2 linked regions of the Arabidopsis thaliana genome follow. The protein of the gene in region 2 interacts with the protein of the main gene of each other region in a pairwise test. Each region holds a gene or a part of one and is shown on either strand. Other genes may lie near its edges. The genes, in order: AT2G33250 and AT2G13290.

What was found.
Region 1: the proteins of AT2G13290 (region 2) and AT2G33250 interact in a protein complementation assay, tested with the Arabidopsis thaliana proteins (one large-scale study listed by BioGRID).

The regions. Positions count from the first base shown.
Region 1 is NC_003071.7:14,095,424-14,099,293, reverse strand, and holds AT2G33250 (uncharacterized protein), read right to left. Parts: upstream 1,926-3,870; 5' UTR 1,841-1,925; coding exon 1,436-1,840; intron 1,111-1,435; coding exon 616-1,110; 3' UTR 543-615; downstream 1-542. Other genes in the region: AT2G33255 (Haloacid dehalogenase-like hydrolase (HAD) superfamily protein), read right to left, coding at 166-499; XID (myosin XI D), read left to right, coding at 2,380-2,436, 2,727-2,849, 2,945-3,088, 3,262-3,407, 3,497-3,653, 3,763-3,821.
Region 2 is NC_003071.7:5,509,612-5,514,406, reverse strand, and holds AT2G13290 (beta-1,4-N-acetylglucosaminyltransferase family protein), read right to left. Parts: upstream 2,846-4,795; 5' UTR 2,604-2,845; intron 2,409-2,603; exon of another isoform or gene 2,392-2,408; 5' UTR 2,350-2,391; coding exon 1,264-2,349; 3' UTR 569-1,263; downstream 1-568. Other genes in the region: AT2G13295 (protease inhibitor/seed storage/lipid transfer family protein), read left to right, coding at 1-87, 161-186.

The sequences.
Region 1 (3,870 bases), 8.6 Mb from region 2:
TCTTTCAGCCTTGAATTTGCAATCTTTTCTCATCTTTAACTCTACGAAATTCTCAATCTTTAACCCATTTTACGATAGATTATCAGACGAAAACCCAAATCCTTAACACTTCCTCAGCGCAAACACAAAATCAAAAATAAAAAAATAAAGCAGATGAATCCGTACCAGGCATGATTTGAAGCTTATCTATTCCTTGTTTCTCATAATCAGCAATGATTTCATACGCCTTCTGCTGTTTATCAGGACTCCACGACTCAATATGATGCAGAATATCAATCCCACTAGGGCTCTCTGCTTTGATTCGCTTGTAAGCATCTTCACCAAGAACAGCTCTATACATTGCGGCGAAATCGATGACCGGAACAGTCAGGGTTCCGTCCATATCGAATACAACACCTCTCAGGCGAGTTTTAGCGTTCGTCGTTAAATTCGCCATGGAAATCGAACAAGAAGGTCTGAGAGTGAGAGAAATAAATGTTCTTGATAAGAGGAAAGTCATGGAAAAGAAATGGTGATGCTCAAACTGAAATTGAGGCTCATAATTATTCTCTATTTTTAACCAATTTCGGTTCGGTTTAATTTGAACAACTTGGTTTGTTTTGGTTTAGTGGTTTTTCACTTGAGCATGTTTGTGTATGTGCTTAAGAATGGAAACAAAGACACCAACAATCTCAACAATAATGGTTCTGCTGCCTTTTCTCTTCTTACTCTCTTCCTCTTCGGTAACGGTTTCTTCTTCGGTTCGCTTGTTGGCCGTTCGGGAATGGTGGTACCAAGCCCGTCTAACTCGTCCCACCCACCAAACTTAGAAGCCATTCCAGCTGAACTACGGTTAACTCCACGGCCATTGACATTGTTTCTAACGGTTGATGGGTTGTATCGAATCCTGCTACTACTTCTCTCCACTTCTTCTTCTTCTTCCTCTATCCCGAATTGATTTGCTATTGATGTACCTCTGCGTTTATCCCAACCAATCAACTTCTGGAACGCATAAAATAACAATGATGGCCCGATTGCTACGGCTAGTGACACGAGGAAAGCTTTGGGTCCGGTGCTGAAGAAAAGCGATAAGATGATGAATGGGAGGAGATATCCATACGATTTGAATGCCTACAAAGTGAACATAAACCAAACACAATAAAGATCCCACACCAACAATAAGAGAGCAAAATCTGGTGTATGCAAATAAAATGCAGCTATATATCAACAAAGCCGTTTCTCTTATCTTTGAGCAGAAAGACACTATCTAGTTAGAAATCAAAACTAGTTCAGATTCACTACACAACGATATTAACTGTTTCTTACATGATCACCATAACCATTACCAAAGAACAATTTTGATACTTTAATCAATCAGCATTTTCAATTAGCAGTAGTAGATTCCCGGCTAATTTCATAATTAAGGCTTAAAAGATGCATGATTGAAACTAATTACCTTTAAAATCCAAACATTATCTACAATTTCCTCTAAGATCTTCCACAGGTCAAAATTAGCACTACCAATTCCACCACCACCATCATCTTCATCATCATCGTCTTCAACATTATCTTCAAAAAGTTCTTCCCATAGCTCCCGCCGCTTCCTTCCCCTTTTTCCCCTTTCCGTCAAACGGTATCCCCTACCGTCATCAGCGGCGGCGCATATTTTATAGCTGAATCTCCGGCGGTTCAGCTGAATTATCTTCGCCGAAGTTACTCTAGAGCATGAGGAAGAGAAACAGAGGAGTTGAGAACGAGAGGGAGGATAAGATCTAGGGTTGTGGAATCGCCAGACATGGAGGTTTGAGAAACTAAGATAAGTAGAAGCTCGCGGTAACGAAAGAGCTCCTCTATCCGCCATTAACGTCTGGCGAAGCGAGAACAGTGAAGAAAATGCTCTGCTCCATGTATAGACACACTCAACTTGCGCCACGTTGTCATCATCTCCTCCATTAGAATCGAATACTATAAACCGGCTTGGTCCAGGAGAAATGTTAGAACTGAAATCCGGTATAATTGCAGGGGTAATTTCGAGATCATCAAATGTCTGACCTGACACGCCTACGTGGATTCTCTTTTCTCTTCCTTTTTCCAGAAACGAGGGAGAGAGAGACGAAGCATCAAACAAGGCAAAAACAAAAAAAAACCAGGAGAGAATATTCCGAGGGAAAACGCGAGAAAATTTCTTACGTTCTGCGAGAATCTCCAGCTTTCCTGGGGAAATATTGGAAGGCAAAAGCCGAAGGGTTTAAGGTCTCTGTAATCGTCGGAGAAATTTGAAATATCGTCCGTAAAACGTGAATGTAGTCTTAATCTTCCGCATTTATAACGTCGATCAGAGATTTTGAAGCTAGTAGAGAGAGAGAAGCGTTTTGTGTTTGATTTATGGTGTTTGGATCCATGGTGTGGAAACACCAGCTGATTGGGTTCTCAGGGATTTTTTCTAATGTTTCTCCCGTTGGAAATCTTTATTCGGGATCATTTCTAGGAAAATCAGACCAGATTTGGCCGTGATAATGGTACGAGTCTCTCTTCTCTTATCTGCATTGCGATTTCTCCGTGTTCTTCATTTTTACCTTTTTTTTTTTATCTTCTGTAACCATAATTGCTATTTGAGCTGATTTTTATGTTGCCCCTTACATTTTAGATTTCATTATAAGATGTGTCTAAAAGAGAACAAAAGAACCAGCTAATGAAGCTTGACAATATTTTTTTTATTTGTTTCTAATATATTCTACTTTAATCAGGCTTCAGTGAAGGTAACTGTGGGGTCACAGGTCTGGGTGGAAGATCCAGATGAAGCCTGGCTAGATGGAGAAGTTGTGGAAGCTAACGGTCAAGAGATCAAAGTTAATTGCCAAACCAAGACGGTTAGTCCCTTTTCTCCAAAGCAACGAGACAATGTGTTAGTTCTTAAGGTACCTTAAGAATACATTGCTCATATTTGTGATGCATTTGTTTGTAGGTTGTGGCAAAGGTTAATGCTGTCCACCCCAAGGATCCTGAGTTTCCTGAGCTTGGTGTGGACGACATGACAAAGCTTGCGTATTTGCATGAACCAGGGGTTCTTCTCAATCTAAAAGCCAGATACAATGCAAATGAAATATATGTACGCTTCAGCATGTAACTCTTGTCAGTTTTCCTTCTTTCATTACACCCACTTATGAATTCTATGATTATCTCTACCATTGTTTTGCTGAAAATTACTGCACAGTTATAGCAATATCATTAATATTTCTCTGAAGTGTTTGTAGCAAGCTAATTTCTTCTTGATGGTTACAGACATACACAGGGAATATACTGATAGCTGTGAATCCCTTTAAAAGATTACCCCACCTATATGGAAATGAGATAATGGAGCAATATAAGGGCACAGATTTTGGCGAGTTAAGCCCACATCCTTTTGCTGTTGCTGATTCTGCATACAGGTAATCTTTTGTTGCATAGATGAAACTTTAACTAATGTTGCACTATCATTTTTTTTTGGGCCTCACCATCATCAAGAATATAAATTTAGAAAAATGATCAACGAGGGAGTAAGCCAGGCGATCTTGGTGAGTGGAGAAAGCGGTGCTGGGAAGACAGAGAGCACAAAAATGCTCATGCAATATCTTGCATACATGGGTGGAAAAGCTGAGAGTGAAGGACGATCTGTCGAACAGCAAGTTTTGGAGGTAGATAGTCTGTTTACAATGCATCTACATTCTTACTAGAGACAGACTCACTGAGTTTCTCTCTGTAGATATCTTCTTATTCTTCTCGTATTATGATCCTGTTATGCAGTCAAATCCAGTTTTAGAAGCTTTTGGTAATGCAAAAACCGTCAGAAACAATAATTCAAGGTGGAATGTCATTCACATTTCTTGATTTTTCAAGTTTATGTATGTTCTT
Region 2 (4,795 bases):
CGTTTTCGCAAAACTTTGACTTTTATAAGCTCTCCAAACTCTCTCATGCATGCGGCGACCTCTTAGTCCCTGGATCTTATTGCGGAGGTAACTATCACTAGACTATGCATTTTTCTCAGTTCTCACAAGCTTATCTAATTCATTTCTATTGATATTTCAGTTTACAAAGTCCCGAAAGGCGCTTAATTGAGCAGGAAAAACGCATTGGGATACTTACATTGCTTCAATGAGGGTACATTAGTATGAATAATGTTCTATAGTTGATTTGTATTTCGCTAAGAACTATTTTTCGTTATAAATTTGATTTTTAATCACATTGATTTTACACTATTTTTGTTAGTTGTTAATTTCAGTCGTATAACTTCAATAGAAGCAAGAGGACACTCGAAAAAAAAGACAAGTTACAAGAAAGTTTGTGAAAACATTACAACAATATATGTAAAAAAGTTTTGCCAAAAACATTAAGGACATGTTACGATAAAGAAACACAAGGTGGCTACGCAAACCGCAATTTATCATATTTGGCTTCAACGAAATAACTACCTTCACAACAACCATTGGATCACTGCCTTTGGAACCTTCAAGCTCGTTGATCGTCAAGTCCGCAACATCATATCCGGAAGACGACATAGGAAGCGTTGGCGTCTGCTCATGCTCCTTTGGATTAGATAACTTGTATCCCACTTTGGCTTTATTGTAATCTTGTTTTTTACTTTCTTTTTTTCCCAAGATTACTCTACTTTAGGTGTTGCTTCTGTAATCTCTTCACTTTCATTTCTAATGATATTTACAAGCTTACCAAAAAAATAAAATAAAGAAACACAACTCTTTGGATCATGTGATAAAAAAAATATTGGTTTTTCAACAATGTTGAGATTGTTATTGATTATTTGCCATAGTGTTTAGAGGGTAAACAAAAGAGGAACATTTAAACAATCACTGGTTTTTGGTCATATTGTTTCTTGATTCTGTCTTTACGTTCATAATGAGTCTCCCACTATAAGCTATGTGGCTTACCTCTTCTTTGTCCAGTGCGTTTAAACCAGATATGCTTGTCTATAAGGTTGAGTTAATTTGGTACTAGAGTGAGACTAATGATGGTTGTTGGCCCGGTCTTGTAATCACCATAAGTTTTGTAAGAAAACAGAACATGTTATAAGATCTATTTCTTTATTTATCTGTTGTTTCAGGTTAAGTTGGTGTGACGCCAAAAACCTTTGTAACAAGAAACTATTGCTTCTCTATTTTGTACTTAATCTTCAGCTAGGGTTCTCGGAGACAACCTCCCGGGAGGAGAAACCGAAAGCGAGCAGCGTTCTGAATCAAAAAGGCTGGTAGATGTACCGCAGACGCAGAAGGCGGGATGGGTCCGATTTTGCTAATCAACTCTTGGAAGCTGTATTTTTCAGGAAGCATGTCAAAGAGATCATAACCTTTGCAAATATGTTTTTGTATCCTCTGATAATCCAAAAACTCCTTGCGTTTGACTCTATCTGCATGACTATAACCTTTCATCTTGAAAACAAACTCGTTGAGTCGTCTGAAACAGAAGCTGCAATGCCACCCTGCGTCGGATAATATCAAGTCCGTTTGTCGTGAGTGCCGGTATTGAGTCCACTTCCTACTATATATATGAACAGAGGCTCTCCAGCTACTGTAATCAACCGGAAACTCAAAGGAGTACATGTATTCCCTCATCTCCAAATGCATTACATCTGGTATCCCATCACACCACTGTAGAAACTTCACAGTATGAGGACTCGGAATCTCGTCTGCATCTGACATTATCACCGCATCTCCATCCGATACACCAGCTTCTCTAAGCAACCAGTTCATCGCAACTCGCTGTTGCCCCTCAAGCAAAAACGGATCCTCATACGGCTGCCCCGTAGACCGTTTCTTCCCAGGAAACACTCCATGTACAATCTTCCCCTCCGCAAACGCAAATCTCTCCTTATTGGAATCGAAGAAAAGCGGCTTCGGGATCCCGGTAAACGTAGTGTTTGACTCCAATATCACAAACTTCGACACATAAGGCTCCAATTCCCGCCATCTGACTTCAAGAAGATCAAGCTCATTACTGAAAATGATGGCATCAAACACTCGCCTCGGTTCTAACCGCGGTGTCCAGCCGTGAAGCTCACAAAGATGTCCCATGGAAACATTCTCCGCATAGTAATGCGGTATCCGTTTAAAAGGCGGTGGCGGTTTATCCCAAAGCGGACGGAAAAGATACGATATGGTTTGGAAATTTGTTAAGATACATAACAAACATGTCAAGAAGAGTATAATCAGAGTAGGAAACACAAGTTTAACCGGCGGTGGTTTACGCAACGATCGAATCGTCATCTCTATGGTTCTCAAACTTCACCAACTCATTTTCTTTTTCCCCTGCATCAAAGAATAAACTAAACTCTATCAATTAAGCATAAACCTAAAGCAGATTCTTTTCTTTGGATCAAAACATAAAAGGTTCCAACTTTAAATTCACATCAATTCCAAAAACGAGAATTGAGTTGTTTAACGACTAAACCCTTATAACCCAATTGAGAATCGGAAACAACGAACACAAAACGGAGATAACAAAGTCATAAAAATGGTACCTTTTTGGAGATTTCAAGTGTATAAGATTAAGAAATGAGAACACACGAAGGGTTGTGATATCTTTTTTTTGACAATTCGATTGATTGATGGAAGAATTTTAGCTGAAAGAATCAGATTTGGGATTTGTTTGTGAAAAGCTGTAAAAGAGAGAGCTTTGGAAGAATGTAAAACGACCGCTAAACCTCTCTCGCTAATCTACGCCTAGCCACAGATCTTTATCGAAAGAAAACAAAAGTTAAAACGGAATATAAATATACTGTATCGAAACTAATAATAGAATAAGGTCATGATGTTTTCCAGTTTTTAATTGGGTTTTGAAGTTCGGTTTTTAAATTTTTTGGTGGAGATTTTAGTTTTAATTTTTTTTTATTAATTGTAGCTTGTTTCGTTTTTGAATTTTATCTATAGTTTTTTTTATTATAACTATATTTTAGTTTTCTATTTCAATTTTTATTATTTGTTTTGTGTTGAAAATTTACTAAAAATATTGATAATAAAGAAAAAGAATGAAAAAAGAAAATGTCATGCAAATTTGTTGGAAAACTCGATAGAATTTTGTTGGAAAAAAGTTATATACATGTTTTTTTGAAATTTTTTATTGGTTTCATGTTTCATTAGAAAATTTGGTTGCCAAAAATTGTATTTGAAGGTTTGAGATGAAGATGGACGTCGATGGTCATCTTATCTTTTTAAAATGATTATGATATCACAAGACCGGTCGTAATGATTTTGATTAAATCGGTACCTTACCAACTTATGTTATGTCTTGCTTCAGATTACCGAAAATAATCACATCAAAGCTCACAAGTACTATCGCAAAATTCTTGTAGACTTCAAATGGTGAATCTAATGATATGCATTGGATAACATGTGATAAGGTGTGTTATAGCAAATCAGAAGGGGGGCTGGGATTTCGTAATGTAGACGAATTTTTTCCGGCTCTTCTAGCTAAACAATTTTGGTGTTTAATCACGGTTCCAGATTTACTCTTTGCGGATTCTTAAAGGACAAAATTTTTGGAAATCCAACTCTTTGGATAATATAAAATCATATTCTCCATTCTATGAATAGAGAAGTATTTGCTCAACTAGATCCCTGATTAATAAATGACTTACTAAAAGAGTCGGTTGTGGATAATCCATCTTAGTTTGGGAGGATCCGTGGATTCCAACTCAATTCTCGAGACTAACAATAAAAAATAGTTCAGCTATTGATCATTCTTTAAAGGTCAAGAGTCTTATAGACTCACAGACAAATTTCTGGAATATTAATCTTTTATAAACGCTTTCTGATTCGGAAGATGTCACACGAATAAGTGCTTTGCACTTGGGTGTGTCAACTAAGAAAGATAGGTTAGGTTAGCATTTCACAAAATCAGGAAAATATATAGTTAAATCTGGATATTATACGGCGCGATTAAAGACTTTGGATAATAAGTCTTCTTTTATTGGCCCAGACATCAAAGTCTTAAAAGCATACTCATAGAAAGTATAGTGCCCGCCCAAGTTACGTCACTTCTTGTGACAAATTTTAGCGGGATGGGTACCAGTAACAAACAATTTACAATAACGCGGTATAAACTCTGAGATAGGATGTAGTAGATGTGGTGCTTTAGAAGAAAAAATTAACCACATGCTTTTCTTATGCCATCATGCGCGTTAGATTTGGGCACTTTCACAGATACCTACAGTCTGAGGGAAATTTCTTTATGCATCTATTTATGCAAATTTAGATTCTTTATTTTGGCGCATACCTTCGGAATTAGAATCATCTTCATTTCCACGGATAATTTGGTATATTTGGAAAGAAAGAAAAAAAAAAAATCTTTAAAAATGTAGATAAAGATCCTCTAGAAATGTTACACTTAGCAGAAAAAGAGTCAGACTCGTGGAAGTCAGCTCAACTTGAGCTTCACAGTGAAACTCATGGTTCTTGTAATTTAGAAAATCATAACCGAGTGCGGCATTTCCAATTGACAACAATTATTCTCAATATTATTGTTTTGTGGATGGATCTTGGAAAGATAACGACAAGTTTTCCGGCTAAGGATGGTATTGTATATCATCAAATGTAGGGACGCTAACTATGGAAGTTGCTTATCTTAGAAGACGTCTATCCTCATTACATGTAGAGGTGGAAGCTCTCATCTGAGCGATGAAGTGTATGATTGGTGCCGACAACAAAGATGTAG